Linked DNA regions of Yarrowia lipolytica. The protein of the gene in region 1 purifies or fractionates together with the protein of each later gene. This does not show direct contact. Links are inferred from orthologs where the notes say so. Each region holds a gene or a part of one and is shown in the gene's direction. Other genes may lie near its edges. The genes, in order: YALI1_D10865g, YALI1_A03402g and YALI1_E17171g.

Evidence for each region.
Region 2: the proteins of YALI1_D10865g (region 1) and YALI1_A03402g purify together in Saccharomyces cerevisiae (affinity purification with mass spectrometry; 3 studies listed by BioGRID). This does not show direct contact. The link is inferred for Yarrowia lipolytica from reciprocal best matches to the Saccharomyces cerevisiae genes RSM7 and MRPS12.
Region 3: the proteins of YALI1_D10865g (region 1) and YALI1_E17171g purify together in Saccharomyces cerevisiae (affinity purification with mass spectrometry, with the first as the bait; 3 studies listed by BioGRID). This does not show direct contact. The link is inferred for Yarrowia lipolytica from reciprocal best matches to the Saccharomyces cerevisiae genes RSM7 and MRPS18.

Annotation. Positions count from the first base shown.
Region 1 is NC_090773.1:1,085,033-1,088,240, forward strand, and holds YALI1_D10865g (mitochondrial 37S ribosomal protein uS7m), read left to right. Parts: upstream 1-1,565; coding exon 1,566-2,570; downstream 2,571-3,208. Other genes in the region: YALI1_D10858g (mitochondrial 37S ribosomal protein mS35), read right to left, coding at 1-851.
Region 2 is NC_090770.1:338,585-341,417, forward strand, and holds YALI1_A03402g (mitochondrial 37S ribosomal protein uS12m), read left to right. Parts: upstream 1-1,665; coding exon 1,666-2,175; downstream 2,176-2,833. Other genes in the region: YALI1_A03396g (uncharacterized protein), read right to left, coding at 1-1,032, 1,405-1,423; YALI1_A03422g (uncharacterized protein), read right to left, coding at 2,707-2,833. UniProt on the Saccharomyces cerevisiae protein: Component of the mitochondrial ribosome (mitoribosome), a dedicated translation machinery responsible for the synthesis of mitochondrial genome-encoded proteins, including at least some of the essential transmembrane subunits of the mitochondrial respiratory chain.
Region 3 is NC_090774.1:1,715,993-1,719,018, reverse strand, and holds YALI1_E17171g (mitochondrial 37S ribosomal protein uS11m), read left to right. Parts: upstream 1-1,706; coding exon 1,707-1,797; intron 1,798-1,873; coding exon 1,874-2,403; downstream 2,404-3,026. Other genes in the region: YALI1_E17184g (uncharacterized protein), read right to left, coding at 1-560; YALI1_E17162g (uncharacterized protein), read left to right, coding at 2,747-3,026. UniProt on the Saccharomyces cerevisiae protein: Component of the mitochondrial ribosome (mitoribosome), a dedicated translation machinery responsible for the synthesis of mitochondrial genome-encoded proteins, including at least some of the essential transmembrane subunits of the mitochondrial respiratory chain.

The DNA of each region.
Region 1 (3,208 bases):
AGGTTGGCAGGGTCAAAGTAGCAGACCACCTTGGCCTCTTCGTCGGCCTCCTCTCCGGTGTACGAGGTGTACTTGAAGGTCAGGGGAGAAGCCTTCTTGTCAGCCTCCTTGACATCAAAGGGCACATGATAATCGACGAGTCGGGGGAGCACGTAGGCAGACATTCGCTGGAGGTGTCGCATCTTTCGCACCTTCTCCACCTGCATGTGTCCAGCAGTGGGGATATCGTCGTACATGAACTCGTTAACGTGATCAGCATCCAAAAGATCGTCGTCCTCCTCATTCTTCTCAACGACGCTATGCTTGCCGTGGTAGGCGGATCGGATTACGCCAGCGTCGGCTCCAGCAACTCGACCAGCTCGAACCAGCTGTCGCAGTTCCTCCTCGCTCTGGGAGTAGGCCGATCCGAGCTTGAACTGTCGGTTGTGAAGACGCGTGACCACCTCATGGAACTCGAGGCCGGTCCAGTTTCTGGGGTCTAGTTCCTCGTCGCTGAATCGCTCGGGATCCAGGTTCTGCCGGGTCTTGAAGCCCAGCTCCTCAATGGTATCCAGAGCCTCCTTCGTCTTGGCGTCGAGCGTGTACTTGGCCTCAAACTGGAGCTCCTCGACTCGGTTGGTCCGGGGAAGCAGAGAGGCGTCTGCAGAGGGGATCTCGGAGGGCTCAGCAAACGGAGTGGCTGACTCAATGCGCTTGTCGGTTCGGAACGAGGGCTTGGACTGATCCGAGGGAGGAACGTCGGTCGAATCGGACATGAAACGAACATGGGTCACGGCGGAGGCCCGGCCTACAACCGTGGCTCGTGCAAACGCTCCCTGGAGCACCCTGCTTTGGTTTGCCAGTCTGAGCATGTTGTGTGATGATTATGAAAATGTTCAGTGGTGAGAAGTTAAAAAATGCAGTGAAAATGGAGGAGAAGCGGGAGGGTTTCCAGAAATGGCTGTAAGAAGGCTAGAAAGATGAAGAAAAGAGGAATCAATAGCCCATGGTTGGAAAAGTAAATCTAAGGTGTTTTATTCGCAAAAAATGACACCATATAAAGATCTTGTGTCAACTAGGAAAAACCCTACCCTGATAACTAAGCAAAACCTTCTTCATACTATAGAGCTGGACGACAATGGGAATTTGAGGAGGTTGAAGAAGAGATAGATGGGTGAAATTTAGTCGAAATATTTTCGCTGTGGCAATATATATTCTGTCAATTTTTCAAGGCTGCAGTCCTCAAACTCCCCATTTTACTGATACCCATATTCTCTCTCCGAAAAGCTAAAAAAAGTCGAGTGACCGAAATTTCACCTCAAATTTCACACACTTTGAGGCTGCAAGGATTGTATTTGGAGATATAAAGAGGTATGTGATAAATGATGGAATGGGAGCATAAATGACAAAATGAAAAAAGTAAATATATACAAAAAGACAAGCTACTTCACCTACAGCCTTTATTTCTGCGAATTTACCGCTCCTTGGCCCCCGCTCCAACCCCCCCAGGTTCCACCGGTACCACCTCTCCTACACCCAACTCAAACTAACTTTTCACTCTCACATCACCATCTACACACACCACCATGCTGAGAACGACTTCAGGACTAGCTCGGTTCTCCGCCCGTCGCGGATACGCCTCGGCGTCGCCCGCCAAGATCCTGGTGGGTCTGAACGTGCGAGCAGACCGATTTGACGGCGACCAGAAGGCCCTTGCCCAGGAGCTGGCCGTCAACTCCGATCTGGGTGAGGAGGACACAGACGCTATTGCTGCCAAGTACACGGAGCGAATCAAGGCCAACGCCGTAAAGCCCATTGCTCCCGAGACCGCCGAGGGCCATGCTCGACAGTGGATTGCTCTGTTGGACGACATCAAGGCCAAGAGCATGTCGACCGAAAAGTTTGAGGGTAAGGACGCTCTGGACATGCAAAAGTTCCGAGAGACGCTGGACAAGTACCGACAGGAGAGCACTGTTTCCGGCTTCTTCAGCGACGTTTCCGCCAACAAGGTCGACCCCATGGCGCTCATCGACCCCACTTCTGAGTCGCAGTTTGAGCAGGTCATCACCGGCAAGAACGGTAAGAAGGCTCTGTTTGTGCCCACCGAGGAGCAGGTGGCCGAGGCTGAGGCTCTCAAGACTGCGCCCATCCCCAACAAGGTCGACGGCGAGTTCGAGGCCCATCTGATCAATATGATCATGAAGCATGGCCGAAAGAACGCTGCCCGACGGCACTTTTACCAGGCTATGGAGCTCGCTCAGGTCATGATCAAGGCCGACCCCATTCCTCTGCTCAAGCAGGTCTTTGATGACGTTGCCCCCGTCTGTGTCATCAAGTCGACCCCCGTTGGTGCTCGAAAGGTCCAGTACCCCGTTCCCATCACCGAGCGACAGCGACGACGAATAGTGTGGAAGTGGTCCGTCGACAACGCCGAGAAGCGGCCCAACCGATCATTCTCGGTCCGACTCGGAGAGGAGATAGCATCCGTCATTAAGTCCAAGGGAGCGTCGCTCATGGAGAAGACCCTGGTCATCCACAACCTCGCCGTGGCCAACCGAGTCCATGCTGACCCCAGCCGACCCCGAAAGTAGAGTATTGTATATAGTTAAGGAGAGAACAGATCCCGATATCGAGGAGCTTACTCCGAGAGAATGGGCGTAAGAATGAAACACGAGATCCGTGCATGAGAGCTTGAACAGTATAATAGTATGGTTTATACGCTGCTCAAGATCACTACGACTCAATCTCACTGTAGATACTCAAACAGTGGTTAGATAGATCTCATTGCTTTACTGCTTTGAAGTCGCAACCAGTGGTATGTTTCTAGAGCTTCACTCTGAAAGACGTCTCCTCTGTAGACTAGATGGGGTCTACTGTAGCTTGAAGGAAGAGAGTCTCTAAAGATGTTGTAATTACGAAGTCCAAGAGTGTTTATTTTCCCTTAATGTTTGTCGCTTTTCCCTACAAGTAGCATATATGTACTTGTACTTTTCGTACCGGTACCAATCTGTACTTGTATTCGTTCAGTGATCGACCCTCTTTACCCTCCATAAATTTACATGGCTTTACTTGAGAATTATTCGCATTACTTGGCCCATCCACTACAGCAATCAAATACACACCCCTCTAACACATCACAGTAGAAGTAAGAAACACCATTCACACAGTCTCAGACTTACTCGTAATAAAAATACAGCTATTCATTCTTTATAAATTAGTAGCATCACTC
Region 2 (2,833 bases), on another chromosome or scaffold:
CTCCGTACTCACCTCGGAACTCCCGCTCTCGTGGGGGAGGTCGGCTGTACCGGTCTCCTCCTCGCTCGCTTCGATCTCGGTAGGAGTCCCGGGGCTCTCGCATGTCTCGGGAGTCTCGAGGTGGGGGTCCTCGGTAATCTCGGGAAGGAGGGTATCGCTCTCGATCCCGATCATCGTACCGGCCACCACCGTAGCCACCTCGCTCTCCTCGGTATCCAGCACCGCCACCAGGGGCGCCGCTACCGGGGAATCGGTCTCGGTCATCATACCGGGGAGGAGGGGGTCGTCGGTAGTAGTCCTCTTCGTATCGACGGTCGTCGTATCGAGAGGGGGGAGGTCGTCGGTAGTCGTATCGGTCTCGGGAGTATCGATCGTCTCCGTATCGTCCTCCACCTCGGCCACCTCGTCGGGCCTTGGGAGGTCCAAAGTATCGACCGGGGGTGGGGGTTCGGGCTCGCTTTCGCTTGGCCTTCTCAATGGCAAGAGTCTTGCCAGCAAGCTCATGGCCGTTAAGTTTGGCCAGAGCCTCGTCGGCGCCCGTAACGTCGGCCATCATGACGAAACCAAAGCCTCGGGACTCGCCAGAGTGGGGGTCCATCATGATCTGGCACTTGAGAACCTCGCCAAAAGGCTTGAACAGGTCCTCAAGCTCGGTCTCATTGACGTATCGGGACACGCCAGTGACGAAGAGATTGGTGCCCTCGTTCTGGGCGTCAACATCGTCGTCGTCATTCAGGGGCTCCTTTGACCGTCGGTCCAGGTCTCTGTCGTCTCTGTCAAAGTCACGTCGGTCGTCTCGACGGTCAAGGTCGTCCCGGTCGTCCCGTCGGTCGAGATCGTCTCGGTGGTCTCTGTTTTCGTCGTCCCGGTCATCTCGACGGTCGAGGTCGTCTCGGTCTCGCATGCTGTGGTCTCGGTCGTCGAGCTCTCGGTCGTCGTGGGTGTGCTCAACAGGGGCACCAGCCTCGTCGTCATCACGACGGGGAGACACACTTCGTCTCTCGTAGGTCTGTTCAGGGGAAGCCGAACGGTCTGTGTTAGTGGATGCGTGTGGGTGGATTGGCGTGATGCACTGGTGCCGAATACAGACACTTGTGGTGGACAGATGCAGACCGAGCCCAGCACAACCTCATGGCGAACAAAATGGGTAGACAAATATGGGAACAGCTCCAACTGGACCCGTTCTGTGTCCTTGAAACAGGTTCGGCGCAATACACCTTTGCAGCGGGCACTTGTCGAGTGTCTCTTCTCTTCTCTTCTCTCATTCTGTCGTTGCGGTTGTGCTAGTATTCTTGTTGGGTGGAGAGCTCAGTATCTTTGCCAACAGATATAAGATACGGCTTGCGGTTGCTCGTGTGCGACAGTGCACGCCGCCTTGTGCGCTCGCAGGTATCAATTACTCACTGTATTCTTCGTCGGCCATTTTTCGTGTCTGAATAAGATGTACGAAGGGGTCTTCTGCCCACTGACTTTTACATTTCTGACGGGGGTTACCCGGAAGCCACACCCAACTATATACTATACATACACACACACACACACACTGGGTGGGTCTCCTTGGGAGTTGGGTCTCTGGGCTTACGGCCGGGTAACACTGAAATTTGCATGCAGTGCCACTATCTCAAAGCTTGAAGTCAGCAGTTTCGCGATCTCGAACTACACAAAATGCTTCGATCTCTGGGAGCTGCCCTCACAAACGCCCGAATGGGCATGGCTCGTCTGCCCTGGACAGCCTCTGCGCTCCCCAAGCCCACAATGAGCCCCACCCTGGCCGCTCTCACCGTGCGACACAAGACCATCAACCAGATCCAACGAGACGGAGGCCGACCTGTGCCTTACCGACGAAAGAAGTCTCCCGATCTCGAGTCGTGCCCTCAGCGAAAGGGCGTTGTTCTGCGAGTTCTGATTCTCAAGCCCAAGAAGCCCAACTCTGCCCAGCGAAAGGCCGCCCGAGTCCGTCTCAGCAACGGCAAGGTGGTGACCGCCTACATTCCCGGAGAGGGTCACAACGCACAGGAGCATAGTGTGGTCTACGTCCGAGGAGGCCGAGTCCAGGATACTCCCGGTGTCAAGTACCATCTGATCCGAGGAGCCGGCGATCTCGGAGCTGTGCCCAACCGAGCCAGCTCGCGATCCAAGTACGGAACCAAGAAGCCCGCTGCTCCGGGCGCCTAATGTATATAGTAATGGAGCATCAGCTAGCGACACGTCGTGAGCTGTGTATGTGATGGTTTTCGGGATGCGGTGATTCTGTAAATAATGGGATGTAGAGGAGGTTCCAGTGAGGGACTTACTGGAAGCAGAGTCGTAAAAAGGTGCTATTATTGAGTAGTTGCACAGTTGAAGTCGCTTATCCTGTGACAATGTCATGTTCCGGATTATTCTCCCGAACACTTGCTATCTGGGATCATGAACGTGGTTATCCTGGTCAGGACGGGAAAATGGCCTGCTCATCTACAAAGTCATCGAGCCTGGTCATATTGATTTAAAATACACGTAACAATCAAACTCTTCAGAGTGGTTACCGTACCAGTACCCACGCCAATCTATCTCGATAATGCCTTCCATACACCTTCACTACAGTCAGTTGTTATTCATATCATATTCATTACAATGGTACATGGAGACATACCGATGCATAGCTAGTTCCGACCGTTAGATGAAGAGAAGTCAATCAGCAGCACGCTACGTCAAGTTACTGGCCACCTAGTTGGGATGCTTGAAGGTTCTTCCACTGGCGGTCTTCTTCTCCTTGACCACATTCTCCTGCTTTGCTCGGTTCAGCACCTTGAGGAACTCGCTCACTCGGAATCGCATTCGCGAGTGCATATAG
Region 3 (3,026 bases), on another chromosome or scaffold:
CAGTATGCTGCCGACAGACCAAAGTTGGCAACTACGGCCTGGACGGTGGTCAGGTTCCAGGGCTGGCCCATGAGTACCACGTCCAGGAAAAGGGCGACGGCAGGGACCAGGTGGATGGACATGTCGAGCCACAACGGAATCTGTTCCTTGACGGCGGGGTGTTTGAGCAGCTTGGGGTCGTAGAGCTTGAGGGACCAGTAGAGCACGGTGATGACGCACTCGAGGGGCGTCACAGCCACCGACACGGAGTTTTTGAGCTGGTAAAGCAGATTGCTGAAGTCCTTGGAGTAGAGCGAGGCTGCGTCGGCCAGCAGAGCAAGCAAGAACGCTAGGTAGCTGCCGCACAGACCCAGAATGGTCAGGTACTGGTACTTTCCTCCGTACGAGGCATTGAGCGGGTTGGGGTACTGTTCCAGAAAGTGGAACGACGAGGCGAATGAGATGAAGCCAATCAGGTGGTAGGCAAAAGACAGACCCACGTTGGGCGAGCTAATCCACGGCTTGTAGGGCGCCTTGGTGGTGCGGATGGCTCGGGTGGCTTCTCGTTCCTGTTGCGTCATGATTCGGGCTGAATGGCAATGTGCAGAGTGACTGTACTTTGTGTCGTGTGTGTCAATTTTTCACACGCTCTCCTCCAAAGTAGGCCACACTCTTTCTCTGTTGCTCCCTTGCATAGCGATAAGCGTACGCAATCCACGTGGGTGCGTCTAACTCCATCGCTGGATCCCGGTCTAAATACATCTTTTTTAGGCGAGCCACGCGACTGGCGGCTAATTGCGGTGCAGAGGCCACCCGGTGACAACTAAGGCGGTTCCCTGGGCCCCTCGGATCCCCATATACTCTATCCATTTGGCTTTTGGCCAACACTGTAGCTATTACGAGGGGACGTTGCTCGTCAGCAATATTAGTCTTCGTGTGAAAATATAATTAACCTCCAACGATTGTTTCCAACAGCAGAGTCCAGTAAGCACAAGTACGACTTTTTTGCTGGAAGTTTTTTGTGAGAATGGTATGGTATGACAGCCACATAAGTGAAGCAGGAACAAGGAGCAAGTAGTTCATTTACCACTCCGTACAAGTAGCGAATTGACGTTGGTTATATAGGTATGGAGTTTCAAACGTATCAGAGTATGATGAGCATGTACATTCTCTACAAGTACGTATATGTATGTACATACTGTACCAGTACAACTGAGGTCATATCGTGAGCTGAAACTATGGGTTAGATGAGATGGAACACCAACAGAGAGAGGAGCCAGAGAGGGAACAGTCGAGGGAACAGTCGAGGGGAACAGTCGAGGGGAACAGTCGAGGGAACAGTCGAGGGTTGCCTTTACTTACTTTACTCCAACCCTTTTTCAGTATGTACTTTTTTCAAGTGTTCAGCGTCTCGTCACCATTTCAAGCTTGAACTGTGGTCTTCAGTATGTATGAGAGACTTTGATTAGTTAATTTAGTTGATTTAGCTGATTTGTGTGGATAGGCGATTGCAAAATAAATGGTTCCCCTCTTTAATACACAGTCAATTAGAATGGCTTTTTTCTTTCTTTTAATTTTCTATATATTTATGGCGGTTTTATCCAATTTGTTTTGGTTTTATCACCGCACACTCCTCCCACTGACTAAGTGCATCACGTGCCGGGTGGAAAATCAAATTTGTCAAGGTTACGCATATCCACCACCACAGCGTCATCACTAACACAAAAATGCAAGGGTTTCAGATGCTGCGGACCCGAGTCGCCACGGGCGCCATCGGAGGTGTTCGACACAATTCTGGCCTCGCCAGTTTCATGAACCGTGAGTTGAGCGCTTGCGAGCAGGCTGATTTGAGGATCTGACCAAGATGGAACGACTCCGGATCGTACTAACACAGTGCAAAAGGAAATCAGCAAGATCCCTAAGACGGACGCCGAGGAGCTGAACAAGGCCCGAGAGACCCAGAGACAGATCGACCAGAGCGCCAAGGGTAAGGAGGTGGTGCGACACTACGTCCATGTGACCGCTACCAAGAACAACTTGCACATCTGCGCTACCGACGAGTTTGTTGACAAGTCCTTCATTCCCGAGAGCATTGACGAGAAGCTGCTGCAGAAGGTGCGAGCCCCCCAGGAGGTGCGATTCCACATTTCTTGCGGACATCTCGGCATTAAGAAGAAGGAGCGAGGAGAGTACGACGGAGCCTTCCAGACCAGTGTCCGAGCCTTTGAGCTGCTCGAGAAGAAGGGCATGCTGACCCGACCCGTCGAGGTTGTTGTCCGAGGCTTTGGACGAGGCCGAGAGGGTTTCTTTGCCGCTCTCACTGCCCCTGAGGGAGAGAAGGTGGCCTCCAAGGTCGACCGTCTGTCTGACCGAACCAAGCTCAACCAGGGAGGTACCCGACCTCCTGGACGACGACGAGTCTAAACGGGTGCATTGTACATAGGAATAGTATTCATAGTTGGTGTTTGAGCGATGCTGTAGCCTGTACTGGTATGTTGATGAGCCGCAACGCTCGGATACAATAAGGCAAGTATGACGAACAAACAATGGCCAACAATGACCGCACAGTATTGCTTTTTTGAACAATCTGATCTCAAGTGCATAGTCACTTGATTGCTCGGTCAAAATGTCTTTTGCCTTCAATATCAGCTACACTCCTCCTACCCCATACTAATCTCCGCATGTATGGATAAACTTCAGCAGTTTTGAAATATCCCGACTAACGACCCCGACCAACAGTATCGTACTTGTGAAAACAGCAGAACACATGTTTCGAAACGCCCGATTGGCTGGATTGGTATGCTCAGCTCGACGAGCAGGCGTGGTGAGTGCCCGAACTTCGCGAGCCATGCGACTCACCGGCGGATCCCGAGGACTCTCTGGTCTCCACAGTAACGTCAACATCACTCTCAAGCAGATTGAAGCCACAGTGCCCAAGTTTGCCGTGGACAAGGGCCAGATCCAGGTTCTGTACGATCCCGAAGAGTTCTACGACCAGCTCAAGCAGAAAATCCTGGCGGCGAAGGAGCGTGTGTTCCTCTCCACTC